Linked DNA regions of Notamacropus eugenii. The main gene of each other region encodes a partner of the protein of the gene in region 2 in a complex. Links are inferred from orthologs where the notes say so. Each region holds a gene or a part of one and is shown on either strand. Other genes may lie near its edges. The genes, in order: SMARCD1, SMARCA2, PHF10 and SMARCC1.

Region 1 (7,499 bases), on a different chromosome or scaffold from region 2:
TGCTAGCTAGACCCCCATCCCCACTGCAGGTCTTCTCTCTTCCATCCAGGTGATTAAGCACAAGCTGTGCCGTCGGGGCAGGTGCCAGAAGGAGTCTAAAAGGAACAGTGCAGACAAGGGTGTAGCCCTCAGCCTGGATGATGTCAAGCGACATGTAAGAGACCCTGAATAAGATGCTCTCTCTTCTCCTTTCCCACATTAATACACACCAAAAACCTCCTCTATTCTCTTTCCTTCTCTCATTCCCCACTGGTCTCACTGGAATCCCAACGTTATCTATCTACGCTTCCCTCTAAGTGACCCTAAAGATAATACTCTCCCCAATGTTTCCCTAAAATTATTCCCTGCTTTGACTCTTCAACAGTGCATAAACATTTTTTAAGCACTTACTATATGCAAGGCACTGTAGGTGTTGGGGATACAGAGACAAAAGTTAAAAATAAATTCTGCCCTCAAAGACCTTATACCTACCTTGAAGGTCAAAAGACCTCAAAGACCTGGGTTTGTAGAATTAAACAGAAGGGGCAGATACCAGGAAGATCATCTCAGGGACTACTGTAATAATCTAGGAATAAGGCAGTATTAATTAATCATTCTAGAAATTATTAATCTAGGAACAATCTAGGAATAACAGTTATGACAGGGATAGTGGCAATAGAAATATATGTTAGAGCAAAAAAAAACATTTTGAAAAAAGGATCAATAAGATTCAGTCATTTGAGTGGATATTGAAGGTGAAGGACAGGGAAGTAAAAAAAATTACTCCTAGTCTTCCTTTGCCATGATTCTTCATCAACCAAAGTCCAATATATTTTTCACCCTGACTCCCTTTGTTTGCTTTTCTAGTGATTCTTTCCCTGCTCTTTCTCCCCCCTCCCCAGAACCCCTGTGAGAGCCTCCGGGGCCATCCTGCTGGGATGACATATGCCGCCAACATCCTACCTCACCATCCGACCCGAGGCACCTTTGAGGACTTTACCTGCTGAGCCCTGCCAGCCGTCATACCAAAGGCCTGGGAGGGAAGAGGAGGGCAAGGAAAACCTGGGAGATCAAGCTGCTCACCTGCCCTGGGGCTTATCACTGCCCCTCCCACTTCAAGGGCAGCTCCCAACTCCCTTCAAAGTCCTTCCCTCCTAGAACTGGTGGAAGGGGGTTCTGAGTCCAGTGCCCTTCTCTACTCCCTTGCCCTCCATGTCCATACATTTTTATTTTTAACAAAACAAATAACAACAGAAATAAACTACAAAGAGAAAGGGCAAGGGACCCCAGGCTGTCCCTCTATGCCCTGTGCTGCCTCCCCCTGCTCCTAGCCTGACCTATGTCTGTTTGAACATCCATTCTCATCCTGCTTTCACCATTCACTGAAGCTCTTCCAGCAGGGACGACATGAGTGGAAAGACTCCATAGGGGTCTTGAACTGGGCCCCAGACACAGAATGTACCTTAGGAGGGAGGGCTAATGGGGGAGGAGGGCTTCCCTAGCCTTAAGAGACCCTTTCAGTAGTGTCCCTACCCTCCAGTTTTAAATCACAAGGGCAGGAACTGAGGCCCCTGGCCCTCTCTCCCTTACACTTATTGGGTGCCCTTCAGAGGTCAAGGAATAGATGGTGTTCCCTGAGGGACTTGGGACAGGATGAGGCACAGGTTTCATGCCAACATTGGTCCTGGTCCTACCCCAAAATCAGAGAAATTTTTGAATGGGATCCCTCACCCTCATTCCATGAAAAAAGATGTAGACACTTGATTCCCAACTCAGGGAGAGGGGAACTGGCACCTATTTCTCTCCTAACTCCCAGTTCCTCCCTCCAAGGGTCCCTTGCATGGGGCCACATCCATAAATTTTCTTATGGAACTTCCCCAAGTCTTTGTCCTCTATTCCATCTGTTTCTTTCTATGACTTCATCTGCATTTTCTATTTCTATATGATACAGACTCTATATTGCTATAACTGTATATACTCCCTTCCTTACGCCTCTATCTGTCTGCCCTTCCCATCCCCATCCCCTGTGTCTCTAAGTCCCATCCCTACTTCCTCCCAAATCTCCTTCTGTCTCTCTTACCAACCTACTACCAATCCCTCTGAATGCCTTCACCTGTATAAAGTGTTGGACTCTCTCCTCCGGTGTCTGTACTGTGTACACACATCCCCCTGAGAAGCACAAGGAGACGACGTACGCATTGTAACTCTCTCACTGTCTTGGACATAAAGGAAGCTGTGAATCATAAGCTCTGCCTCTTTCTGGCCTGCCCCCCAACCTACCTATGCTTTGAGCACTCTCTGCCCTCCCTGTAGCCTTAAGGCCTCTTCCTTCCTTTCCATCAGTCCCATTATCCCCCTTCTGACTAGGACTTTCCTCCTGGGGGAAGGGGTGGACACAGAGAATTGGCACTTAGCTCAGAGGATAGATATTCCCTCTTGGCCCCAAATCAGGGTGAATTATAGATGATGGAATCCCTGGAGCATGGAGATAAGGTGTCAGGGACAGCGTAAGGGTGGGAAACAACCCATAGTTTCTAAAGGTAGCCACTGAAAAATATATAGGTGGCTAGAAGATAGTGTCTAAGGCCCTCATCCCCAAGGCTATGTCGGCTAGGGTCAAATTCTCCCCATTACTGACTACCCATCCTCTCTTACCTGGGGTCCAAGCCTGTACCTCCATTGCTCAGATTTTAGGGACAAGGCTGGACTTCATAATGAGATAGGACTAGAGGAAGCGTTGGGAGCTCATGCTGTTACACTATCTCCCCATCCTCCCCCTGAGAAATAAGATGAAAATAGAGGTTTGCACCTTCCAATTCATCTTTCTCTATCTCAGATGGTCCAGAAATATCCCTTCCATCCTAAGGCCCTCTTGCTTAGAGCTCCCTGGGGGAAGGCCCCAGCCAACATAGCCTCTGATGATGAGGATGAGGCCACTGACATAATTCTAGGAGATACTTGTTCTCCCCTCTCCATCCCTGTGCTGGGGGAGTGGTAGGGATTTCGGAGGAAGACATTGCTGGGAGTCTATAAATACCTGGTTCCTGGTTGTCACTTGGACAGAGAGCAGACCTCCCTGTAGAGAAACAGGAGGAAGTATGCTCTAAGCAGCTGCGGTGACAGCCAGCAGGATGGTGGGTGAGACACTCCTCTGGTCTAATAAACTGGGTTTCAACCATCTCCCCTCACAGTGTTGTTTTTAATTGTTCATTCGCTGGTTCAACAAGTATGTGTGGAACACCACTTGGCACTGGGTTCAAGGCTTAGAACCCTGCTGGACTTGGCACCAGAGTGCCAGGGGCGGACAAGAACCCCGAGAGGGCCTGGATGGTCATTTTTAGACCAAAGATCTTTATTCTTTTGAGCTAGGACTGCCTAACAGAGGACCAACAGTGGGCTTGAGTTTCAGGCGGGGGAAAGAGGGGGTACAAGGAGAGTCCCCATGGCAATGGGCAAGGTAGTTCGGGTCTAAGGTACGCAGTAGTATCTACGTGAACTTTTATACGCTTTACAAAAGAAAGCTTTACGAATTCTCTCCCTGGAGCGTCACAGTACCTGTAATACCCTAAGTCGCGAGTGCCCACCTCCCCATTTTACAGGAAATTGAGGTCCATCTGCCCAGGGTCATACAGCTCATTAGTCTGAGGTCCGACTACGTCATGCCTAGGACCAGTAAAACTTGGGGGTAGGGCAGATCCAAAGGTGAGGAGGGTGACTCCACCCCGACACTCCCGTTTCCTAGCCGGGTGCCCGCGGGCACATCACGGACGCGCTCCGGGAGGTTCCCAAAGCGCCCGGGCGGCCTCGGCCAAGTAGACCCCCGGGGCCCGGAGCCGGGCAGACCCTGCTTCAGATCCTGTCCCAGCCGGGCGCCCCGGGGCGAGTTCACTTCGCCTGCCTGCCTCAGGGTCCTCCTCTGTACAACGGGGGTAAATAATAGCCCCCACCTCCTCGGGATCGTTGCGAGGATAAACAAACCCACGGCGCCTGCAAAGCTCCTTTCGAACCATGGAGCGCGGTACCGAGCCGAGCCAGCCGAGTTACGGAGCCTGCTTCCGTGTGTGCCGTACGGGCGATCGAGAGCCTCCCCCGCCGCCTTGGCAGGAAGAAATGAGACAACCCGAGGGCAGCAAAGCGCTTCTTAAGCAGCGAGCGCAGCTACACCCGGCGCTGCCCGGGCCCGGCCCCGCCGGCCGGCCCAGCCTGGCCGGGGTAGCTGGTGCCAGGTGCGCGCCGCGCTCGGGACCGGAGACTCGGCGCCTGGCCGCCCTCCGGCCGGCAGGGGGCGCGGCTCAGGGGCGCTCTCCCCCGCAGCTCCTTCTCGCTGGTTTCTCCGCCTAGGGCCAGCGGGCCAGGAGGAGGGGACCGCCCGCCTCGCCTTTTCCACCACTCCCTTCTAGCCCGCAGTCTCGTTGCCCGAAGCCACCCCTTCCCTATCCCGGGCAAGCTCCGGAGGTCTGGGGGTGGGAGGGGGGGTAGCTGAGGGGGAAGGGAGAGTGGCCGAGAGAGGGGGGAGTTCCGGTTCCGGTTCTTTGTGCGGCGGCGGCAGCGGCTCCGGGGGAAGATGGCGGCCCGGGCTGGTTTCCAGTCAGTGGCTCCGAGCGGCGGCGCCGGAGCTGCGTCAGGGGCGGGCGCGGCGGCCGCCCTGGGCCCGGGTGGGACCCCGGGGCCCCCGGTGCGAATGGGCCCGGCGCCCGGCCAGGGGCTCTACCGCTCTCCGATGCCCGGAGCAGCCTATCCGGTGAGTGGGGGCGGGGAAGAGGGGGGCAGGAGGAGGGGCGCGCGGGAGGGGGGCGGGCCCTGCGGGTGAGTGGCAGAAGGGGCTGGGCCGGGGGTGCCCGGAGGCGGCCGGAACCGGGGAGAAGGGGAGGGCGAGAGGATGGAGATGGAGCTGGCCGTGGCCCGGCGGCTTGGGGAGAGGAGCGAGCTGCAGAGCCAGGCGCCTCCGGTCCGGCCGCATCCCTCCCGGTGTGCGCTTAGGGAGGCCGGACCGCGGGAGCAGGTTCGGCGGAGGTCCTGGGTTCAAATGCGGCCGCCGCTTGACGTCCGCGTGCTCTGGGGCCAGTTCACCCAGCCCTTGTGGCCTCGGCTTCCAGGTCCCTAAAGTAAAGGCGCCCCTTCGTCCTAGGGTTAATGTCCTACGTACAGCTTGCAGCTTCTGCATTCAGATTTGGGAGATGGGCCAAGGTGACCTCCCAGGTCCGGTCCAACTCTGGTTCTGGCTCTGTTTCTTTGGAAGGGTACGGAGTTAGGTTATAGAGGAGAGGCTGAAGAGGGAGTTCTGATCTACGGAAGATTAAGAACTCCACGGTGTCCTGATAACCATTGAAGGCATAGTTGTCAAAGAGATAGCGACTAGAAAAGAAGAACCCCAAAGGAACAGGAGGCTTAAGGGAAAGAGGAAATCCCAGAACAGCAAGGAAGCGTGTTTATGCATTAGAGGAGATGGGGCGGGCTAGATGACATTTTACCTTGGTCTCGTCCTTTGGTCCTTTCTTCTACTTTGGGCTGGTCCGCCTTCTCAGGAGCCAGGATCCTGGGTAAAGGAAGCTCCAGTTAGCCCACATTCATACAAGGTTCTAGGGTTCTCCCATTTTCCCCATACCTTTCCCTGAGGTAACACAATATTCTTTCTAACATCCCACAGCTCGGGACAGCTATAACATCTCTGTGTTGTGTCTCACCTACAGCGTCCAGGCATGTTGCCAGGGAGCCGTATGACACCTCAGGGACCTTCTATGGGACCTCCTGGCTATGGGGGGAATCCTTCAGTTCGACCTGGTCTGGCCCAGTCAGGAATAGATCAGTCCCGAAAGAGACCAGCTCCTCAACAGATCCAACAGGTCCAGCAGCAGGCGGTCCAGAATCGAAATCACAAGTAAGACACTTCTGGGAAGGGTAAAAGCAATTCTATGGAGACATAGCAGCTGAAACTGGGGAGTGTGTCTATAAACCTATGTGACTCATGAAACTACCTTATCTGAGTTTACCATGGGTTGGGGGGATTTTTCTCTGGTCTGAAAGAAACTTTTCAGTCCCTGGGCACCCCTTTTCCTCTTTCTCATGCATTCATATGAGGATGCCGCCCTCCCCATTTTCAGATTCTGGTCAGTTCCATCCCAGCCTAATACCAATGTTTATTCTGAACAGTGCAAAGAAAAAGAAGATGGCTGACAAAATTCTACCTCAAAGGGTGAGTCTAGCACGCCTTCCCCATGTCCTGAGTCTCCCCTAGGGCCCCTATAGTACCCGTGAGTTTGAAAGCAAATTTTATATACCTGACTATATCTTGCTCCCCTTTAGATTCGTGAGCTGGTACCAGAATCCCAGGCCTACATGGACCTCTTGGCTTTTGAAAGGAAACTGGATCAAACCATTATGAGGAAACGGCTAGATATCCAGGAGGCCTTGAAACGACCCATCAAGGTACAGGAAACTCCTCGGCAGAGACCCAAGAAAGAGGGATTCAGGATCCATCAGCAGTCTAAGAAATTGAAAGTTCACTGTAGATCTCCCAGACGTATTTAAATTTCCCCTTTTCCCTAATAGCTAATTTTATTAGAAGTACCAGAATAGAAAAAGGAGAAGAGGGCCCACTGTTTCACCAGAAATCTTTGTACTTTTGATGTCACTGTTGTAATTGAGTCCTCTACCCAGGAACCCAGTTGGCACTGTGAATATCCTCGTTTGTCTTGCATCCTTATTTATGCACTGTGGGCTGGTTGCCCATTCATTTCTCCTAGTTGGAATCTCTACCCTCCCCAAGGGACTGGGCAGACAGCAATTTGTTCTGGTAGAATTAAATGGTTAGGGCACAGTATTGTTTCCAAAGCTCTATACTAATCTTTGTTTCTACCCCCTCCAGCAAAAACGGAAACTTCGTATTTTCATTTCGAATACTTTCAATCCAGCTAAATCAGATGCTGAAGATGGGGAAGGAACTGTGGCTTCCTGGGAGCTTCGAGTGGAAGGAAGGCTCCTTGAGGATGTGAGTGTGATGTTCACACTGGTAGGGACTGGGGGTGGGGGCATCTAGAGAAGAGCAATGTCTTTCTGGTCTGGAGGGACCCTGAACGGTGCTCACAACTCCTTTCCAGAGCAGCAGGGAGAGGGACGTTCGGCTCCTTGCGTTGGAAGACAATGGCTCTTTGTGTGCAGCTCCCACAGCTTTGGCCTTCACTGCCATATCGTGTTGAGAACACTATTGTCCTGTGATCTGATTTGCTGTTCACTTCCCCCCTCGGCTCGTTCTGGCCATTAATGGTTTCCCAGGTTTCTGCTGATTACCTTGGTTTGGGCTTATTTATCAAGTGAGTTTGCAGGTTTTTCCCCCATATGGCATTTCAAGCCATGACTTCCTGTCTGAATCCTTAAGATCCTTAATTCCCATTGTGTGATCTCCCTTCTCTCTGCTGTTGCTGAGAACAAATCATGATTTAGAACAGGCAGATTTCTCTGACATGCTATTCATTATTTCATGCTGAGTGTCAACGGGGGGGTTGTGAGCCCCTAGACCTCCC
Region 2 (7,390 bases):
TTTCCCGAGAGCGCTAGGCCTGTCTCTCTCCAGCTTCTTCTTCCTCTTCCCTCCCTCTCATCATGTCATACCGATCAAACATGTCTGTGTGTGTATGTGTGTGCGTACGTGTGTGTGTTTCGCCGCTGTGACTTCCTGATTCCCCGAGGATTTCACACACATACACACACCACCACCACCACCACCACCACCACCACCAAACCTCGCCTCTTCCTCTCCAGGCACAGGCTGGGGAGGGAGGAAGAGGAGGAGGAGAAGAAGGAGAGAGGAGGAGGGAGTCTGCTTTCCTCCTGCTGCTCCTGACTCGCGCGCGCACACGCACGCACGCACACACACACACACACACACACACACACACACACACAACGCACTCGCGCATACACATACACACACACATACACACACACTCCAACCTAGAGCAAACTGTAATACTAGCTGCAAACCCCTCAGGCCCTCTCCACCGCTCTCTCCCTCCCCTTCCACCTTAGTTATCTACCCTGCCAAACTTTTCTGCCTTAGACCTCTCCAAACTTCCCTCCTGGGGTCTGGATGCGGCAGACCCCCCTCCGCCTCCAAAGCAACAGGGGCAAGTTCTGTGCCTCCCCCTCCCTGCCTTCCAACCACTATAAAAACAAATGAAAACAGGAGGACCGCGGTCTTCACCATCTCATCTAGGTAGTTGCACACTGGTTACAGCCAAGAAAAAGCTGGGGGAAAGCCGCAAGAAGCAATTTCCCCGCGTTTACCGGAAATCAACGAAGTCTTTGGGCCGGGAAGCGTTTAATGCACGGAGCTATCCATTTATCTTCCAGATGAAGCCAGGCATACACAGATGCGCTGGATGCAAGGCACCAGGCATGCCCGAACGTCCGACCCCGCTGTTCTGCACCCGGGAGGTGGCGGCGGCAGCGGCCCGGGGAGTGGACGGGGCCAAGTCAGGGACGAGCTGGACAGGCTATTTGGGGAAGTGAATCGCGACACCTTTGCAGTTCGCGTGACTGTGTTTTGCAAGGCAACCAGAAGGAGGAGAGGAGCTCTTGGCGCTGGGGGGGCGGGGGGCGGGAGGGGGGAGGAGGAGGGGAGGGGAGGAGGCAGAACCCAAACCAGATTCGATCAGAACCCTACAAAACTAAAAGACAAGGAACAAGAAGAGGCATTGGTGGTCAGGAGACTCTGGACCCTCTCCTACCAGGCAGCAACCTTCCCCTCGCCCTCCACCAATAAACCTTGCACTTGCGTGCCCCTGTGTGTGCGTATGTGTGTGAGTGTGTGTGCGTGTGTATGTGTGTAATGTTAGTGACAGTCAGACAGGGAGATTATCCGGATCATGGCCTCCTTGGCTCGGCTGGTTAACGCAGCCGCTGCTGCTGCAGCAGCCACTCACTCTTAACAAGCTCCATTTCTCCCCTTCTCACTCACTTGATTTCCCCATCCCATTCGCACCCCTGCCGCTGACCCTGAAAGGGATAGCTCAGCGCCCACTGCCCTAGAAAAAAAAAGGAGGGGGCAACCAGACCTCCTCCTTCTCTTTCTCCTCCTCTCCGTCCTCCTCCTTCGTGTCCTCCTTCTCCTCCTCCTCCTTTTCCTCCTCCTCTTCTTCTCCCCACCTCCACCCGCCCAGCTGCTAAGCCCGGGCCGGACACACTCAACTTCAACATTCAACACTCGGTGGCAGCCGCAGCGGCGGCGGCAGCCCGAGCACTCAGGCAGTAGCTGCCGCCGCCCCATGCATGCCCCCTCCAGACACAAGCACCAAACGAATCCTCCGTTGCTCCTGCCAGGCAGGCACTGGGGTGGGCACTCATTGGTGCACAGAGAGAGAAAACTGGGGAAGAAGAACACCGGGTGCGATTCTCCTGCAATCCTCTGTTCAAACCTCCCTCCCCTCCCACCACCACCACCACCACCACCACAGCCAGCAGCTACAGCACCACCATACAAGTCCAGGGGTCTGTCACCGTCGCAGGAAAGGGGGGTGGGGGGGAAGGTAAAAACACTCGAGTCCAACCTACCGGCCAGGTTCCTGCCGCCTCTGTTTGCTCCTGCCACCGCCGCCGCGGCTTCCCACCTTGGTCGCCCCCGCCGCCGCCGCCGCCACGGCGGAGCTGAGCCTCGGTTTCCCCGACTGTTGCTGCTTTCGATCTATTTCTGTCCGCGCCGCTGCCTGAGCTCCTGAACCAAGTCCCTGGGAGAAAGCAGCCAGGGGCTACCAGTGCTCTATGACAAGCTTTAGATTTTGCTCTCTCCTCCCCCTCCAACTGTTACTATGATGGTTTCTTATTATGAACTGTCGCGTTTCCATCCTCCCTCCTTCTTTCCCCTCCTCCCCCTCTTCCCCTCAGAGGTTTTTAATGGGGAGGGGGGGGATGCAACCTTGCCCATCTATGTGCGTTGTAGTGTGTGTGTGTGTGTGTGTGTGTGTGTGTGTGTGTTTGTTTTGCAACCTTGACTTGGCAGCGCGTCGGTGACTTGGTAGCCAGGTACAGGATTGTGTGGCTGCTTTTTGTTCTGATTCTCATGAAGTAGGCATGATTACTGTCATTATTAGAACCCCAATTCTCTTGGAAACTTTCCCTCGTCACCTCTTCTCCAACCACCCAGGTGTTGTGCTGTCTGTTCCTTATTCACCTGAGACCGGTGAGGAATGTTGTTGTTTTGTTTGTCGGCTGCTCCTCTTCTTCGCTTGTTTTGGTCTCTGTGCATGTACAATCAATAATAATTATGATCATAATGAATAAATCCTGGGGAAGGCTGAGTGTGCACGGGAGGTGGTTGTGCGACAGCAGCTGCTGCAGGAGCGGGGGGTGGGGGGGGTGGGGAGAAGGGAGTTGTAAGTTATATTTACCTTGCTTGTGAAGAGTATGCTGGATGGATCTTCTCCCTCTCTGAGTCACCCAGAGTACAGAAACAGAGCTAGAGAGAGGACTAGATTATGAATATGACTTCATTGATGACAGCCTTCCCCTCCTCTTCCTAAACTCGGGCCCCTCCTCCTTACTCCTCGCTAGGCCCACCCCCCTGACGCTAGAGGCTCCGGAAGCTTCTCTCCAGTTGGCTGGGCCCAGCGAGAATTCCTGCCCACCCCTGCCGGGGTTGGTGGACCTGTTCTGTCACTCGGCCCCCTTGGCTACTCCGGGAGTACCGGGAGGAGGGGGTGATGGTGTGGAAGAATGTGCCTTGAGAGACAGGTCTACTGTATGCGCGTATGCATGTGTGCCTGTAAAGGCTCCAGCCTTTGCTCCCTGTTTGTACATGGAACCACAGAAACTGCGCAGGACAGAGCAAGCCTGCCTGAGTTGGCTTGTGGATGTTCATGCTTTACTGCTGCCTTTTTCAACGATTGATTGTTGGAATGTCTTTCTACCCCCCACCCCCACCCCCCCTCCGGCTTGAAATTTTCCCCCTTCAGCGTCGTGTTGTTTTGGGGAAGAAGGCTCTGGAGACGTAACAAAAACGGAGGGTAGTAGTAGTAATAGCTTGTAGTAGTTTGGGGGGTATGGAAAGAAATTGCTGGCATTTAACTGTGCCAGCCATTGCCAGGTCGAGCCTGGAAAGGGGGAAAGGAGGGGGGAGGAGGAGATAGATTCGGAGTTGCACCAAAGGCTGGTTGTTACAAGGAAGGGATAGCCATTGTCAAGGCTGCAGAAACTTCCTCCCTCTCCCGCCCCACCCCCCCGGACTATAATTATAAATCTGCCTTTTTCCAGGAAGGGAGGAGGGTACAAAGAACATTGAGATCAAATCCGACTCTCCTTCCATTGAGTTGCACCTTTCCAAAAGTCATTGATCCCCCAAATCTGCAATCAGGCTATGAAGCTTATGGAGAAATAGGGACACCTCCACTCTGGGAATCGGAGATTGCTATCTTACCTTTCTTCTCCTATATTCCATAAGTAAAAAATAAATAAATTAATAAATACACACCAGTTCTGAGGTGAGGGGAATTGGGAGGGGGAAATAAGGAGTTGGGCCATTGAATCTCGTTTTGGTGGAAGCAAGGGAGTAAATCTGGTAACCTGCATTCACATTAATCTCTAAGTCTGCCTTCCTACACTTAAGAGGCAATTAAGATTTCAAACTAAATGCTCCTGGCACTTTAAAAAAAAAAAAAAACCCAGACCTCAGCTTATGGTGTTCCTTGAAATACAAGCACCTTAGGCCTACCAGGCCGTCAATATTTGCTGAGAGAAATATTTTTATGAACTGTGAAAGAACACATTGGAAGATTTTAAGTCAGGGGTCTGTTATTTTAGCCTCAGATTAATGTAGGTATTTGCCTTTAAAAATTAAAACTGTTCCTATGTGCTAGAGTTATGAAAAGTTTGATTTATCCCTTATTTTGCCATGCAACAGCCTAAATTAGTCATTGAAAGTGCATTGTGACTATTTTATAGAGAGTTTTCCCCCTAGAGTAAAATCCTATTTTAAGAGGCATTTTACTGTTGCAAAATTGACTCTATTTGAGCAAGTGTCTGAAATGTCGTTCTTGTAGTATGTTCAAAACAGCCAGCTGGAGAAGTTAAGAACCTGAAGCAATGGGAAGAACACAGAATGCTCCATATGGTCATTAAGTGACAGGTACTGTTTATGTTACTGGTCTATTACTGACCAAATTAGAATCTGTAATGACATGATTATAATGCCAGAGATACAATGTTACTTGTCACTGACACTGTAGTTTCCCAAGGTCTTTTTACTTGATCACCAACTTCAACATCATTTTCTGGCTATTCAAAATATGATAAAGGACAGTATTAAAGAGAATCAATTAAAATACGTAGTATGTCCCCATGCATCCAGTAAAATAAACTGATTTTTCTGCCCAAGGACATGCTGATATAATTATTAACCATCGAATCTCCAGCAAGAGACGCTGAGCAAATTTAGGTGCATAGTAAAATACAGTCAAAGGTATTTAACTGTTTCATAAATTACAACTAATAATAAAACTTAATAATTTGGTGGCCCATAACTGGGTTTTAATTTAATGAAGATTCTTGTTATAATGGATAATTTCTTAAGACCACATATTTTCCAATATTTTGGCATAAGAGATTGCACTTTATTCCTTCCTAGAAAAAAGAGCCCTTGGACCTCTTTGCCCTCTCCATTATAGTTAAGGCAATTTTCATGGAGAAACCAATCACCTTGGCAAAACATCTGTAGAAGGACTTTCCATTCCTTCTGGAATTTTTCCCGCTTTTGGGGGGAAAATGTCTGTATGGATATGTATGAGCATATGTGAGTATTCAATTACCCAATTTAATTAAATTTTAAGTGCTATGTGCAAGGCACTGAGTTTGGTACTGAGTATTCAATGGCAAAAATATAAAATCATATATGTATATATACATACATTTATGGATGCATACATGTATGTATGTAGACATATATGTATGGATGCATACCTTTATAGGTACAAATACATCATATGTAAAGATATGTGTCTATATATTATATGCACACACACACATATATATTCATATATACATACATGTTCAAATACCTTTCTACTTACTGACTTTGTTATTATTTAGACTTTACATTCTAGTCAAATGGGACTAATTGATATTCCCTGAATTGTTTTTTTCATTTCTTGCCTATGTGTCTTTGCACAGGCCCAGAAGGTACTCTAGGTATCTATGTGGCTCAGTGGCACTGAGCCTGGAGCCTGGAGTCAGCAAGACCTGAATTCAAATCCAGCCTTAGTTACTGGCTACCTGTGTGACTTTGGGCAAATCACTTAATATCTGTTTACCTAGGAGGCAGCTAAGTGGTTTAATGGACAGAGTTCTAGGTCTGGAGTCTGGAAGACTCATCTTTTTGAGTTCAAATCTGGCCTCAGATACATACTAACTGTGTGGCCTTGGGCAAGTCACTTAATTTCCATTTGCTTGAATCCACATGAGAAGGAAATGGCAAACCACTCCAGTATCTTTGCCAAGAAAACCCCAAGGACAGTATTGGTGTGCTATGGTCCACAGGGTAGACATGAATAAAGAACAAGAAGGTATTCTCTCATTTTTAGTTTCTTGGAATCTTACTTTTTCAAAGCGTTGTTCACATACCTCTTCTAAAGGAAGCCTGTTCTAATCCATCCACTTGCTAGTACTTTTTTACTTCTCAAATAAGTTGGTGTTTTCTTATCTATTTATATGCTGCATCCTGTATTAGAATGTAAGGTACTTGAGGGAAAGGAGTATTTTTAAGTTTAAATTTAAATTGTAAATTTTTGTAATTGAAACACACATATATCACACATACACACACATACACATAAATATACATGTGTGCATTTGTGTGTATGTGTATTGTCTCTAATGTATTATATAGTTTCCTCATCTAATTTATAGGATTTTGTATGCCTTTGTGCATAATTTATGAAGAAACTATGGAAATTTCAAAAGCATAGATAAAAAACAATATCAATCAGGAAAAACAATGTCAACATTATTTTCTCAACCACATATCCCTTTGTGCTTCCTAGGAAAATGACAATCTCCTTCCTTTGATTTCTTTAAATAGATCTTATGAAGGATTTTCATGTAAGTAACATGCAGTGTAACAGGCAGGAATCTCATCCAATATTGCTCGCCTGTTGTGGCTTAAACTTCTGAGAAATGAAATTGCATCCCCATCTATTTCAGATGTGAAGTAAATAACATGAAATTCAGCTTTCAGGAAAAAAGCAAAATTTAACAATTGATGTGAAGAATGGCTATGAGGGTTGCTTTTGTTTTGGAGAGAATCTCCCAAAAGCAGATATGGTCAAAGGCTGAAAGATCTCCAGGTTGTCAAACAGGATGTTAAATTCACGTGAAGCTTTTCCTTCTGGCCTTTGATGAGTCATTGTTTGGTCTCTGAAGCAGCAGCTTTTCACTTTCTACCTTGGAATCCAGAGACAGAGACCACCTCCTCATGTCTTTATTGACACATTCATTTGTTTGCGCCCAGTATATCACTAGAAGTTCTTCAAAAAGCAAATAGATGATTTAAAAATTGAAGTCTAGGGTCACAGTTGTTAAAAAGAGTAAGGATATGGAGCCAACAAACATTTCTAGACTTAAAGGGAAATTATTCCTCTGATTAAAATGTTGTCTAACTATGATGAAAAAGGAGTAAATACGGCCATACAGTAATGACTGTATGCTTTGTCTGTTGTAGATTACTATAGAAGATTTTAGAATTTTAGATTTTAAACTTAGCTACTACTGTTATTGTGGCTATAACACTATAGTTTAGCAAGAAGTAATCAATAAAGCTAAAATCAACTCAAGAGTTTCCAAAAGGATTCTTTCCAGCATTGATTAGGATGTTAATACCCAACACTATATGGATCACCATATTTTCAAAAAATTTAATTATTTTCTGGTGGTCAACTTTAGTATGG
Region 3 (7,610 bases), on a different chromosome or scaffold from region 2:
CTTTTTAATATTAATCATATTCCTATATTCTATGTAAATTTCTGTTATGTAATTATATCTTTACCCTACAAAAATCCATCTTGCTTTCTTGGAAGTTGCTAGCTCCTCTTGGAACTTAATCAGCTTTTTGAGAGGCGACAATCTCAATAAATGCCTATACTTGGATTAGAGGTAGTTTGACTCTGAATTCTTTGATACAGTTCTACCCCAATACATCATGAAACCAAAACAATTTTTGGTGTCCTAGAGTTGAAACCTCAACAGTTTTTTACAATTAGATTATTTAGTTTCCAATTAATTTTTATTCTCCCATGGTCTTTACTGAATGTAATTTTTATTGCCTTATGCTTTGAAAGGGGTGCATTTAACATTTCTGCTTTTCAGCATTTGGTTTTGAGGTTTTTAATACCCTAATCCATGGTCAGTTTTTATGAAGGAGGTATGTATAGCTGAGAAAAGGGTATATTTTTATCTATTCCCATTCATTTTTCTCCAGAAGTCTTTTATCTAACTGTTCTCTAACATTCTATTCATCTCCTTGAATTCTTATTTATTTTATGGTTAGATTTATCTAGTTCTGAGAGGGGAAAATTGGGGTCCCCATTTGGCACATATATTTTAGTATTACTATTACTTCATTGTCTATAGTTCCTTTTAGAAAGATGTAATTCTCCTGCTTATACCATTTGATCAGGTCTAGTTTTACTTTTACTTTATCTGAGATCATCATTGCTGCCCTTGCCTCTTTTATTTCAGTTGAAGAATAACAGATTCTGCTTCAACCTCTTTATTTAACTTTATACATGACTCTCTGTTTCAAGTGTGTTTCTCATAAGCAACATATTGTTGGATTCTAATTTCTAATCCATTCTGCTGTCCACTTCTGTTTTATGGGTGCCTTCATTCTATTCACATTCAGTTATGATTACTAACTGCATTTCCTTCCATTCTATTTTCTTCTCTTTATGCTTCTCTTTTTATATATCCCTCCTTCTAAAGTCTGTTTTGCTTCTGACAATTGCTTTCTTTTGTCTGTCTTCTCTTTAATCACTTCCCTTGCCCCTTTTTCTTACTTCTCCCTTTTTCTCATTGGGCAATATAGGTTTCTATTGCCAATTGTATATTAATTACATAAAATTAAAAGGTTTTTGCACAAGTAAAAGCAATGCAGTTAAAATTAGACAAGCAGATATGAGGAAAATATGTTTTCAGCAAGTTTCCCTGACTCATTTCTAAGATTAAAAGCCATTCCCCAGTTGATAAATGGACAAAGGATATAAATAACCAGTTTTCAGAGAAAGAAATCCAAGTTATCAAGTCATATAAAAATGCTTTAAATTATTAATTTGAGAAATGCAAATGAAAATACCTCTTAAGTTCTAACTCACACCCATTAGACTGATAAAGTTGATAAAAGAAAAATAAATGCTAGAGGTATTGTGGAAAAACAGAAACATTAATGAATTGTTACTCTGGATGGTGACCTCACCTAGACATTCTGAAAAGTAATTTGGAATTATCCCTCTGCAGCTACTAAACTGTGAATTCTCTTTGATCCAATGATACACAAAAGAGTAAAAGGGTTCATGTATACAAGAGTATTTATAGAAGCTCTTTTTGAAGTAGCAAAGAACTGCTCAAAAAATATTAAACTCATCAATTAGGGACTGGCTGACCAAGTGATAGTATATGAATGTAATAGAATAATATTGCGTTGTAAAAAAATAATGAAGATGGTTTCAGAAAAACCTGGGAAGCGTTATATGTTAGAACTGATGCAGAATGAAGTAAACAGAAATACAATTTCTATATTAACAACAATGTTGTAAGGACAAACAACTTTGAAAGATTTAAGATCTATAATCAGCACAATGAAAAAGCACAATTCCAGAGGACTTTTAATGAAACATGTTACCTGCATTCTAATACGCAGGTAGGTGATGGACTCAGTACAAATTAAGATAAATTTTATTTTGGACACAGACAGTTTGGGAATTTGATTTACTTGGCTATTCCTGTTTATAACGTAGGTTTTCTTTTTTTCTCAATGGGAGAGAAGATGGTATTAGGGAGAAAAGGAGGATCTTTAAAAAATGTGAATATTATGGTACAGTTAAGAAATAAGAAAAATTTGAAGAAACAAGAGAAGATTTACATGAACTGGTTGAGATAACAATACATATAATGACTACAACAACTTGAATGAAAAGATCAGTAAAACAAAGTATTGAGTAACTGAAAAACCAATAAAGGAGATGGAAAACAGATGACATATCTCCACAGTACCATGGAAGACTATAATGCATATTACAGCATACATTTTCAGATGTCACTATATTGGATGCTTTTACTTTGTTTTGATGTCTTTTTAATCACAGGGAAAGTAATCTGAAGGGTGAAAGTTGAAATGACAGATGCAAAGACAGGAGACATTAATAAAATGTACTTTAAAAATCAAAGTAAAAATCACTTTGTAAAAGTCAGCATTATTACAACTGTGTCATTAATCATTAGCAATTAGTGTGGGATAGGGATGGGGCTCAAGTAGAAAGCAGTAAAGAAGAAACATGTCAGACCCACTTAAGGGTGCACCTAGAACTGTGAGGGGGCACTTTAAGCCTGCCTTTAGGTAAATTCAGAGAATATGTTCTTACATATATTTGTTGTCTCTTCTTCTATAATGTGTAATGAGGGACTGACCAATAAGCTCAGTTCTTAGGAGTCCTTTATGAGTGCAGCAGCCTGGTCAATACAGTTCTCCTCATAGGAGAAGCTGGGGAACTTTCTTTAAGGAGACTGAAGTGCCTTGGAAGGACTCTGAAGAATGTGTAGACATTCTGAAATGAGTTTTGTTCTGCTAGCCACATGATGAATGGCAGCCTCTACGACTTACAGTTGAAGAACCTGATTCAGAGGTACATGCAAAAAGTTTTGGTCAGTTTTGGCTTCTCCTTTGTTGGATCACCCATCATGGTTTGACTCCATTGATAATTTCTGTTGTGTGTGTTTGTCCTTCCTTCTGAAGAAGACCATGCCATCACAGAAATGATGACATGACTTGCGCTTGACATTGCTTTGAGTGAGGGAGGCTATGCAGGTCACCAGCCTCACTTCTCCTCCAGAGCCATTTGAATCCAGTGACCAGATATTCATCAGAATGACTGGAGATGGCCCAGGATGAGGCAATTGGGGTTAAGTGACTTGCCCAAGGTCACACAGCTAGTGCGTGTCAGGTGTCTGAGGGGAGATTTGAACTGAAGTCCTCCTGACTCCTGCACTGGTGCTCTATCCACTGCACCATAAGAACTAGAGGTAGCTACAGCTGAAGAAGGTAGTTTAGCCTAGAAAGAGGAAAAATAAGGACATACTTAAGCATGAAGGTTATCTATCATCTACCTGATCTATCTGTGTACACCCCAGGGGGGGCATACAGATATCTATCTCTATCCCAGTCTGGGCTGACTGGTTGGAACGGCCCCAACTACACATACATCTATGTAACATGTACACACACGGTTACATTTATACAGACATGATTGCACATGGGCTCTCTGTCCCAATCAGCACCTCCCTCTCTCATGCGTGTGTGCAGATGCACGTGGGTATGTATGTAAGGTCAGTCACCCCCGAGTGAGATCGATCTTTCCCGGCACCAGGTGACTGGGGGCCTGGCTGTATTTGGGGACCCCAGTCTGCCGTGTACAGGTGCCCCCCATTGCTGCTGGGGCTCCCCACGTGCAGTCCCCTATACCGCCCTCTCGGTGCCGGGACGAAGCCCGCCGCCCTTTCCCGGGGTGTTTTCCGGCGAACAGGACACAATAGCAGGGAGGACAAAGGCAGCCCAGGGGCGGAGGAGGCCAAAGGGCCGGAAGCCGGCCGCCCCGCACCCCGCAGAGCCCTCCCGAGGAGGCCCCGCTCCGCCCCGGAGCTCCTAAGGCAGGGCAGCCTTAGGAGGGAGCCGGGCGGGAGGGGACGCGCCGGCCCCCGGACGCACACCACACAAAGGCGGGGCGGGGGCCGCGGCCAATGCGCAGAGCGGCCCGGCTGCGGCAGCGGCGGGAGCGGAGAACAGAGGGGGGCGGGGCCGCCGAGGCTGGGGCTGCGGAAGGAGGCTGGAGGGGAGGGGGCGGGGTGGGGAAATCGAGGCGAGGGGGAGCGGACCCAGCGGAGCCGGCAGCAGGATGGGCCAGGGGGCGGGGGAGCCGGGCTGCGGTGGGAGGGGAAGGGGGTGACGTGAGGAGGGGGCTGAGCCGCGATCGCTTCCATTCCTCTCCCGCTCCCCCGCTCTCCGGGCAGCAGCGGCGGCAGCAGCCTCAGCGGCGGCGGCGGGAACTGTGACTGTGACGGCGGCGGCGGCGGCGGCAGCAGCGCTGGCGGCGACCGTGGCGGTGACGGTGGCGGCGGCGGCGCCGAGCCGGGGGGCGCGCGGCGGCGGTGCCGGCCGGGGCTCGGGCCGGGGCCGGCCGCCTGGCAGCGGCAGTGGCGGCGGCGGCGGCGGCGGCGGCGGGCGGGCGGAGGGGGCAGGGGAGGGGGCGGGGCCGGGGGAGCGGACGCCGCGGAGGCCTCTCCGCGCGGCGGCGGCGGCGGCGGTCAGGACGAGGCGGCGGCGACGGCGGCGCCGGCGGCGCGGGGGGCTCGGGCTCGGGCTGATGGCGGCGGCGGCCGCCACCCCCGGGGCTGTGCTCTCCCCGCGCCTGTGCGACAGCAACCCGGCTACGCCCGGAGCCCAGTCCCCGAAGGTGAGCGGGCCCGCGAACGGGGAAGGCGCCGGCCTGCGGGGTCCCCGGGCTCGTCCCGCCCCTGGGAGCCCCTAACGGCGGCCCTTAGCCCTGGGGGTCGCCAGCCCCATCGCGGGCCGGACGGGGTCGGGGTACCCCGGAAACAGGTGCAGGCGGGCGGGGTCCCGGGAGGGTCTCTGCAGTTCCGAGTCAGGGCCACAAGCTAGGGAAGTTGCCAGGGATGTGCCCGTCAGCCTCCCCGAAAAGTCCGGCCCCAAGCTGTCAGCGAGCCTGGATACCGAAAACACGGAAGAGGAAGGGAGCAACCAGACGGGGCTTAACCCCGCTTCGCCTGCGGGTCGTTCCTGAGCGATTTTTAAGCCACCCCCCTCCCCCAAAAGTTCTCAGGTAGCCCCAGAAAGGAAGTCTTCCTCGATCTTGGCCCTTGCTTGCTTCGCCCCCCGGGCGGCCCGGCCTGGCCTCTGTGGGCTGGCTGTCGGCATCGTTTGGGACACCCGGGCCCGGACAGAAGTCTCCACAGTTCAGGTCGCTGCCAAGAAAGGACTTGGTCCTGTTTTTGTGCGGTTTGCTCAGGTGTATCCGGATATTAACTCGGATCTTAAGTTCACTGTAAAGAGTTTTTAAGCTCCGGATAACGCCGCAGAACTGGAAAGGTTTTGTAGCTAGTTACATTTTTGGCATGTCCACATGTGTGCAGTCACAAAGCCGTTGGAGTATTGAAGTAACACTTGTAATTATTTCAAGTTATTGAATTTATAGTGAGTCACTAGTTTACTGGAGAAGTTAACATAGGACCACCACAAAAGAATCTCATTCAGGAGACCTTTTTCATCCAAGACACCTTCAGTTTTACTCCGGAACTTTGTTTACAAAATGACCTTTTTGCCTCTTTTTGAAAAAGAGGGATTAAGTTTGTTTTGCTTGGATCTAGCAGAAGCATTGAGTGGAACTTGGAAAAAGGCAAATTTAGATTTCATGTTAGTAAAAAACTTAGAAATACCCAAAAGGGAAATGGGCTGTCTTGAGCAAAGGCTGGATAACCACTTGTGGGATTATGTTGTTTTGGGGATTTTTTCTGCATCCTTTTTTATAAGCACTGGCCAAAATTGGAATGAAAATTGCTCCTGAAAATATGAATAGAATATTACAAGAACACTTTTGCATGCATTATTTTGCTTGATCCTCAACCATTTGAATTAGGAAATTCAAATATTATAATCCTCCCATTATATATGACCTCAACACAGTTGAAGTATAGAGTCAGCCTTTCAGTTTGTGAGACCCACCCCACCTCTAACTAGCTTTATGACCTTGGATAAGTCACTCAACTTTAAGTGCCCCAGGCACTTTTTTTTTTTTTTTTTTAGGTTATACATTTGGGTGCTGATCTGCTTTAAGTGGAAGGTGTTTTCAGACTAGGAGGTCCCTGTGCAATGAAATTGAAAGATGAAGTTCCTTCCTCCCCTCTGGAAAATAAAATGCAAATGAGGAAAAGGTTCCGAGGAGTTCTAACTTATCTCTAACTAGTGAAAGAAGGGAGACTTCAGCTGTGAGTGACAGTGATAGATCTAAATCCAAAGTACCATATTGTATCTACACTATGATGTAAATGCCACGTATTTTATTTTTTAAACATTTGCCTAGATTTTCAAAACTGTGAATCTGAGTCAGCATTTTCTTTTTTAGAGAAGCTGACTAAAAAAATTATCAATCATGGAAAAATAAACCAGCCTTTGACCAAAAATTAATAAAGCATATGCTTAAGATAATACAAAAAATGGAATCAAAACTAGGGCATTTTGATATTTCTGACAATTTTTATTTGCATTTTTTCTTCAACTGGATTTTTTAAGTACAAACTGGAAAAATGGAGATCTTCCTATTTTGCAAGGGGGAAGAACTAAGGACAAAATAAGAATTTAAATATTTTTAAATGAAAGGGCAGAGAAAAATATCCAAATGAGCATATGTAATCTTAGAAGTTAAAAATACTTTGTGGCTTAAAAGTCATGATTAAATGTTGAAAGAGAAGCAAATACTTTTAAAAACTCATCTTGAGATCTAGTAAAAAAGTTGAAATACAGCAGTTAGACATTGAACAAACACTGTATTTCAGGCTAAGTACTAGGGATACAAAGGCAAAAACAGATCCTGCTCTCAAGGAGTTAGCCTTCTAAGGGGAGAGCCAACCTGTAAATAACTATGAACTAATAATAAAGTCAGTCATCTCAAGATTAAGGATGTAACCACTCTAGATTTGGAAATTGTCTTTTTTTTAAACTGGAATTCTTTTACTTTGAAATGATGATTTTATTGGTATGAGAAAATCACAAATCCCCTGAACTTTTCTAATGCGCTTCCTCTGGCTCTTCTAAGATTTCAGAAGTATATAGTAATACAGGGGTTTTCTATTATTCACTTTTGATTTTCACAGTAATCACTGACTTGACACCTTTTATAGTTTCTTAATCTTCATATCTTTTATAGCATTTTTTTGTCTTGGTAATATTCTGAAGCCAACCTTATAACCATCAGCAAGATCTCCATTGCCCTTTGAGTACTTGTAATTTTAATTTTCCTAACATTATTGTGTGTATGATTTGCATTGGTATAGCATCATCAGGAGAACAATGTATAATGCTCAAGAGATGCTAGATTCTAGCATCTGAACTTGACAGAACAAATCCCCTTAAATAAAAGGATCTGTTCTGTGAAGTTTGGATTCAGTCAGAGGGCCACACTTGAGAACCTAGAGGGCTATGCATGGCAGGTTCCCCACCCCTGTTTGCTAGAAGAACATCTGCTAGAGATCAGGCGTAATCATATTTGGAAAACTAGACTATTTAATTTTTAAAAACAAATTTTTATTGA
Region 4 (7,119 bases), about 86 Mb from region 2:
GTGTAACATGACATATGAGGGGGAAGGGGACAAAGAACAGAAAAGGGAGAGGAGGGAAAGGAGAGAGAAGAGAGAGGAAAAAAAGAGAAAGAAAGGAGAGGAGGGGGTAAGAAAAGGGAGGAGAAAGAGAGATCACTATCTGACCAAAATAAAAGCCTCAGGTACAATATAACAGTAACAACTCTACCACCTGACAGTAACATTGTACTTTTCAAAGTGCTTTCAGCATTTCATTTCATGATGTTCATCAAAAAATGATACTAATTAAGATTCAAAATGAACAAAATAGCTTTATATTCACAGACAATATTTTCAATCAGATTAGGAAACATACTGACAATTATGTACGTATATAGACCATGAAGACTTAGTAACACATTCAGCACTTTTCAAGCACTGCTCTGTGAGGTATTAACTCTCCATCTGGTACATATAACATCCTTAGAGAAAAGAATCACAACTTATTCTTTGTTCCTACATTAGCATAATTTCCTTTGGAGTAGAAGATGCTCAAATGTTATTTGGTGCACCAATGAAAATATCAAGAGAGTAGAATTACACTGAATCTAGTTAAAAATATAATATACTTTGGTCCAGGCCTCATTACAGAATATAAAAATTTTAATGTGCATTTTCAGCTCTCTTTAACCCTACTGAAAATGACATAAAATATCAGCATTTAACTTAAGACATTTTAAGACATTAAAATACTTTTTCCATAACTACTATAATGGCTTTTTTCTCCATTAGATATTTCTGAAACATTTTATTTTCATTGATAACTTCTGTTTCTAAATATATTATATCCATTGTCCTTTTCTCAGCCGGTGTAACAAAGATTTAAAAAAAAATTTTAAAGTAGTTAAGCAAAACAGTGCCTGGCAGAATATACAATATTCCAGCCACATGGTACCACCTTTACAAAGGGAGGGTGTGAATTTTCTTAACTCTTCTTGGAGCCAAGCTTAAATTTTAATTTTAAGCCACTGAAAAAGATCAAGGATAAATACACACTTCTTCCCTAGAAATGTATATCTGGATCTGCTCTACAGCCAGCTGAGAGTGATCCCTAGGCCTCCTAAACAAAAACACCAGAGCATCAGAACTGTGAAATGCATCAAGCACACCTTTGAGGGCTGCATCCTTAAGCAACCAGGCCAAAAGAAAAATTGGGGAAATATTGGAAGAGCATAGAGGTGGAATGAAGTGAGGGTCTCTAGTCTCCCAGTAGTGTTCAAAGTGCGGTCTGGAGAATTTAAGTCTCAAGACCTTTTCAAAGGGTCCACGGAGTCAAAACTATTTTTATAACAATGCTAAGACATTTTAATTTATAATATAGTAAATTCTGACATATAACCCACATAAACAAAAGCACTCAATAATTTTTATGAGGGTAAAGGAATCCTGAGATCAAAAAGTCTGAGACTGAAAGGTACAGAAACTCAATTCCACAAACCTTACACAAGGCATTGACTATAATAAAAGCTCATTTCCATTTGGCAAATTATTTTCTTACACATGTTAAGTTCACTAGATCATCTATCTGAAGCTGGATGGGATGTTAAGAGGTGATCCAGTCAAACCCAATGATTTCAAAGGTGAAGAAACCGAGACCCAGAGGTTAAGTGACTTTCCCAAGGTCACATATGTAAGTGGCAGAGGTGAGATTAAATTCAGGTCCTCTTAATTCCCAATTCAATGCTCTTTTCTCTACAATGTGCTGCAATGAAAAGCAAGGCTTCACAGGAAGCATCTAGAAAAGCACTGACACAAGTTTCAGATACCAAAAGCGAAATGAAATGAATACCTGTACCTGGCAACAAGCGTTTAATAATCATTAAGCTTTTAATTTCCGTTATTAACTTTCTCCTAAATATTCAATACATTTCACAGAAGAGATGGAAGTTCAAGAGGAAGAACAAAAAGAAGTCGGTTATGAAAAAAGGCAAGCAGTGTGAACTGGAAATTCACGGTTATCATAACCATCTTTCTGTAGAATGGAATGATGGGGGGAGCTCTGCTCAGGGACATTTAAGGATTAAATTTAAAAAATATCTAATAGGGTAAAAAAAATCTCCTCTGCTTCTCTCTTAAAAGTTTCTGTAACCTTACTTTGAGGTTACAAACTCCCAATTTTGTGCTTTCCACCCCCACTGTCTTTAAAAAAAAAAAACTGCAGAAAGAAGACACAGTCAGTAGGAGACTGGGGACCAAGGAAGACCTGGATTCCAAAGGTGCTCAGGCAGACCAGCGAGGCTCTCGGCCTCAGTTTCCCCGTCCGTAAAAGGCAGATGACTGAGGATGTGTCTCCCCGGGCGGCGTGAAACGTTCACACGCGAGTCCTCGCGACCTCGGAGGGCGGCCCCCCACCCGCGCGCACGCGACGGGCCCTCCAAGACTCGGTGAAAGAAGGGGCTCCTTTGTTGCTCGGTCCCGCGGCCCCGGCACCCAGCCCCCACCCCGGGCCCCGGCCTCGGCCCGCCTGACCCGAGAAGACCGCGAGGCGCCCCCCCCCCCAGCAGCAGGAGGCGGGGGGAGGGGAGGCACGGCTGGAAGACTTCCTGGAGGCGACGCTCGCGGCCCGCCCGCTCCCGCGCGGGGCAAGGCCGAGGCCCCGCCGCCCCCAGGCCCCGCCGGCGCCGAGGGGACGGCCCCGGGGGAGGCGGCCAGGGGAAGCCCCGGAGCCGCGGGCCGCCCTTTGTTGTCCCTCATGGCGGGGAGCGGGGGGAGGGCCGAGCGGGCCGCTCCCCGCCCCCACCCCGGGCCCCGCGGCCGCCCCGCGCCGGGACCCACCTTCTTGTAGTGCTTGCCCAGCCAGACCCGCACCGAGTCCAGCTGGGAGACCGTCTCCGGGCTCTCCCAAAACTTGCCCGCCGGGCCCCCGTCCTTCCGCCGGCACAGCGCCAGGCCCACGGCCGCCGCCGCCGCGCCCCCCGGTCCCGCGCCGCCCGCCGCCGCCCCCGGAGCTCCGCCGCCCCCGCCGCCCGCCGCCGCGGCCATTGTCGCCGTTCGCCGTGTCCGCCGCCGCCTGCTCCGGGACTCGCCGCCTGCGCGCGCACCTCCCAACTCCAGCGGGGCGGCCTGGCGCGCGCCTTGGTCACTCCCCCTCCTCCTCTCGCCTCCTCCCACTTCCTTCTCCTCAGGCCCAGGCCCGGCCCGCCCCCGCCCGCGCTTCTGCTCGTCCAGCCTAGCGCCGGCGCGCGCACGCGCGCACGCGGGCACGCACGCGCCGAGCACGCATGCGCCGAGCTCGCTCCGCGGCCCCTGGGATTTCCGTCAGTTCCCCAAACTTTTCTCTTCCCCGCCCTCCTCCGCGCTCCGGAGGGTGCGCGCGCAGCCGGCATCCTCTGCTTCGCCGGCGAGCTCCTGAGCTTCCTCTCAGGGCCGCCTCTTCTCGCCGGGTCCACCCGTCGTACCAGCTGGTCGTACTGGATGGCTCCCCAGCCATGTCTCCGGTTAGACGTGGAGCTCCTGCGCAGCCGGGCCGGCCGTTCGCCTTTCTTTGCATCCTTAGAGCGGTGCCTGGCACACAGTAGGCGCCTACTGAATGTGTCGGGGGGGGGAGAGAAAGGCTCTTTGACTTCCGGCCGCTCACGTGATTCATTCCTTTGTCCAGCCAAGACAAAAGGAGCGCCTAGCCGAGGGGGTGAAGGCCAGGCTTTGGGGTCGGGTCTGGGTTCGAGTTGTGCCCCCGGGACCCCGGGCGAAGCGCCCCCACCTTTGGTCCCAGGATGTTGGCTCCAAGAGCTGCCAGAAGAACGGCGGCCTGCCCGGTCCGGGTCCGAGTTTCCCTCAGCCCATCCCCCACAGCTCCGTGGCAGGGCCGGTCCGCAGAGATGACCTCTGCAGAGAGGAGGGGGTCACGTGCTCTGGGCAGCTGCCCTGGCGCTGACAGCTGGATGCAGGTGTTCCCGTAAGACCCAACAAACGCGGCTAACGGTTATTGATTGATTGATTGAGAGGAGAGGGCCCCTCATCCCTCACTGGAGTCCAGGTTGTAGATACCAGGCCTCCCCCAAAGCCGGGGCTCTCCTTTGCCCTGTCAGCTGTTCCTTGGAGAAGCTTTCCTAAGGTCTACAAGCAGACAAAACAGGGCATAGGGTAGAAGGAAGTGTTCTCAAGGGTCTTGCTACCTAAGAGAGAATTCAGCATGGAAACATAACTAACCATGTGCCATAGATCAGCGTCTAGCCAGCATAATAACAACACTGGAAGCAGCGTTGCCTATATTATCTCCAATACAGCTCAAGTAACTTGCTCTGCGTAGAGGCAGAATGAAAGCAGATCTTCCTGACTCCAAACATTCTATCTCCTGGGCCACCTATATCCCTACAAAAATTCCTGTACCATTAAAATGTTATAAGGAGTTCAGAGGAGAATGCAATTATGCTAAATGACCTCAAACAACTAAACGATGCTTTAAGGGCCTCAGTTTCCACATCTATAAAATAACAGGATCGGAAAAGCTGATCCCTGCAGTCTCTTCTACTTTTAAATTCTACAACACAGAGTTGGAGCTCCAAAGACATAACCTATCTACCCCAGGCCGTAGCTCCTAGGTGGGCAGAAGATCAGAAGACCTGTTTTTAAGGGAATTCTAAACATTCATAAACCCCAAATCTCAGCCTACCAAGGGTACTGAGGGATAGGAAGACTGATTTGTTTCTTAGGACTCAGATCCAAAGGATAGTGACTTGTGCCATATGATGGGTGACCTCTAGGTATGCTTTAGCTTCTGCCAACTTGAAATGAAGCTTTAGTATCTCATGATGGAGAAATTGAGTTCAGCCCAGGAACTTAATTACCACTATACACTTCCTCTGCCACCAGGACCTAGGAACTATAAGAGTTTCTAATTTGTGAGAACCAGGGGAAGTCAAGAACCTGCTCCAAAACATCAGAAATCCTGTCGGGAGGGGGGGGGAAAGGGGCACGGAGCCAACACAGTGGAGTAGAAGCAGGAACCTGCTAGAGTTGTCCCCACAAACCCCTCAAAAAACCAATAATAATGACTAAATTTCTAAAATTCTAGAGCAGCAGAAGCCACAAAATGACAAACTGAAGCAAATTTCCAGCCCAAGACAACCTTGGAAAGTTGACAGAAAGGGTGTATCACACTGGGCTGGGAGCAGAGCACAGTTCCATGTGGGCCATGCCAACACAGAAGATATTGGAGCAAGCCTTAGGGGACTGAATCACTGGCACATGCTGCAGTTTACAAATCTCAACCTACAAACACCAGACAGCTTTGAAGGTCAGTGTGAAGGGTCTCTCACCTGGCTGAAAGGGCAGCATAGTCTGGCTTCAGCCCCAGCCCCAGAAGCAGCAGCAGCCATTGCTGAAGCAGAGGCTGCTTATGGAGTCCCTCACAATACAGACCTCAAAAGTCAAGTAATTGGTTGTGCAGCTGCCCCTGGAGCCCTCAACATAAGAAAGAGCTCGAGTCAAGTAATTAACTAGGAAAATGATAAAACAGGAAAAAGAAACAGACTATAGATTCTTACTTTCTCTGCAAAGAGGTATTTTCTTATGTCATTGGTAACAAGGGAGATCAAAACATAGAACTACAAAAAGACAATAAAGCCAAATCTTCTGCATCCAAAGCCTCCCAGAAAAATATGAATTGATCTTGGGCCAACTTTGAAAATCAAGTAAGAGAAGTAGAAGAAAAATGGGAAATGAGAGTGATGCAAGAAGTCACAAAAAAATGAGTCAACAGCTTACTAAAGGAAACCCCAAAAAATGCTGAAGAAAATAACACCTTTAAAATTAGACTAACCCAAATGGCAAAAGAGGTCCAAAAAGTCAATGAAGAGAAGAATTCCTTAAAAAGCAGAATGGGCCAAATGGAAAAAGAGGTCCAGAAGTTCACTGAAGAAAATAATTCCTTCAAAATTAGAATGGAGCAAATGGACATTAATGACTTTACAAGGAATCAAGAAATTATGAAACAAAACCAAGAAAATGAAAAAATAGACAATGTGGAATATCTCATTGGAAAAAAAACTGGCCTGGAACATGGATCCAGGAGGGATCATTTAAAAATTATTGTACTAGGGGGCAGAGCCAAGATGGCAGAGTAGAAAGACACACATATACTAGCTCTTCCCCCATAGCCCATAAAATACCTGTAAAGAAAGGCTCTCAACAAATTCTAGAGCAGCAGAAGCCACAGAACAACAGAGTGTAGGAGATTTCCACCCCAGGGTGACCTGAAAGGCCAACAGGAAATGTCTGTCGCCCAGCCTTGGCTGCACATCGCAGCTCTGGGAGGAGGATGAGAGCAGACCTCAGGGGCAGAATCCCCAGTTACAGTAGCAACGGTTCACAGATCCCTCAACACAGGCGCCAAAGGTCAGTGACAAGGTTTTTTCAGCTGGCCAAGAAAGGAGAAGGGCCTTGCCATAGCTCTGAGCCTCAGATGGCGACTGCAGAGGCCACATCGGGTGGGTTGCAGCAGCTTCCACAGCAGCCCGCATCCATTGTTGGATTGTAAAACCCCTCGGGGCACTGAGCAGCTGTTTCTTACTTCAGCCCTGTGTAGAGGCCCTGCCCCCACCTAATACTCCTGGGGATTTGAGCAGCTGATCTTTATCTCACACTGAATGGCAGCCCTGCCCCTGCAGCTTATCTGAATCTCAGCCCCCAGTTCTGGCTCGGTGGAATTGGAGGCAAGGTGGTTGTGAAGAGGAAATTCAGATTTGGGGCACAAAAATTTCTGCTTGCTCCTGGACCAGTGTACACACTTGATTGTACCACCTTGGAGGAGCTGAGATCTTACAGACCCCCCCAGAGTATACCCTACTCTTGACAAATGACCCAAAAGTCAAGTAACTGGTTGGGAAAATGCCAAAAAAAGGGGGGGAAATAGGACTACAGGCTACTTTCTTGGTGAGCAGATATCTTCTCCCATACTTTCAGATGAGGAAGAACAATGCTTACCATCAGGGAAAGACATAAAAGTCAAGGCTTCTTTATCCCAAACATCCAAAATAAATATTCAATGGTCTCAGGTCATGGAAGAGTTCAAAAAGGATTTTGAAAATCAAGTAAGAGAGGTGGAGGAAAAACTGAGAAGAGAAATGAGAGAGATGCAAGAAAAGCATGAAAAGCAGGTCA

The links.
Region 1: SMARCA2 (region 2) and SMARCD1 share a complex: the UniProt entries of both Homo sapiens proteins name them as parts of the BAF complex. The link is inferred for Notamacropus eugenii from reciprocal best matches to the Homo sapiens genes SMARCA2 and SMARCD1.
Region 3: SMARCA2 (region 2) and PHF10 share a complex: the UniProt entries of both Homo sapiens proteins name them as parts of the neural progenitors-specific chromatin remodeling complex. The link is inferred for Notamacropus eugenii from reciprocal best matches to the Homo sapiens genes SMARCA2 and PHF10.
Region 4: SMARCA2 (region 2) and SMARCC1 share a complex: the UniProt entries of both Homo sapiens proteins name them as parts of the BAF complex. The link is inferred for Notamacropus eugenii from reciprocal best matches to the Homo sapiens genes SMARCA2 and SMARCC1.

What each region holds. Positions count from the first base shown.
Region 1 is NC_092874.1:222,199,026-222,206,524, forward strand, and holds the start of SMARCD1 (SWI/SNF-related matrix-associated actin-dependent regulator of chromatin subfamily D member 1), read left to right. Parts: upstream 1-4,492; 5' UTR 4,493-4,543; coding exon 4,544-4,720; intron 4,721-4,832; exon of another isoform or gene 4,833-4,858; coding exon of another isoform or gene 4,859-4,981; intron 4,982-5,669; coding exon 5,670-5,857; intron 5,858-6,129; coding exon 6,130-6,172; intron 6,173-6,282; coding exon 6,283-6,405; intron 6,406-6,844; coding exon 6,845-6,967; intron 6,968-7,499. Other genes in the region: ASIC1 (acid-sensing ion channel 1), read left to right, coding at 50-154, 882-986. UniProt on the Homo sapiens protein: Involved in transcriptional activation and repression of select genes by chromatin remodeling (alteration of DNA-nucleosome topology).
Region 2 is NC_092872.1:99,142,437-99,149,826, forward strand, and holds the start of SMARCA2 (probable global transcription activator SNF2L2), read right to left. Parts: upstream 3,019-7,390; 5' UTR 2,846-3,018; intron 2,696-2,845; 5' UTR 2,629-2,695; intron 2,402-2,628; exon of another isoform or gene 2,186-2,401; 5' UTR 2,013-2,185; intron 1,013-2,012; exon of another isoform or gene 747-1,012; intron 325-746; exon of another isoform or gene 1-324. UniProt on the Homo sapiens protein: ATPase involved in transcriptional activation and repression of select genes by chromatin remodeling (alteration of DNA-nucleosome topology).
Region 3 is NC_092873.1:266,066,042-266,073,651, reverse strand, and holds the start of PHF10 (PHD finger protein 10), read left to right. Parts: upstream 1-4,590; 5' UTR 4,591-4,649; coding exon 4,650-4,739; intron 4,740-6,106; exon of another isoform or gene 6,107-6,288; intron 6,289-7,610. UniProt on the Homo sapiens protein: Involved in transcription activity regulation by chromatin remodeling. Belongs to the neural progenitors-specific chromatin remodeling complex (npBAF complex) and is required for the proliferation of neural progenitors.
Region 4 is NC_092872.1:12,829,329-12,836,447, forward strand, and holds the start of SMARCC1 (SWI/SNF complex subunit SMARCC1), read right to left. Parts: upstream 3,016-7,119; 5' UTR 3,001-3,015; coding exon 2,794-3,000; intron 1-2,793. UniProt on the Homo sapiens protein: Involved in transcriptional activation and repression of select genes by chromatin remodeling (alteration of DNA-nucleosome topology).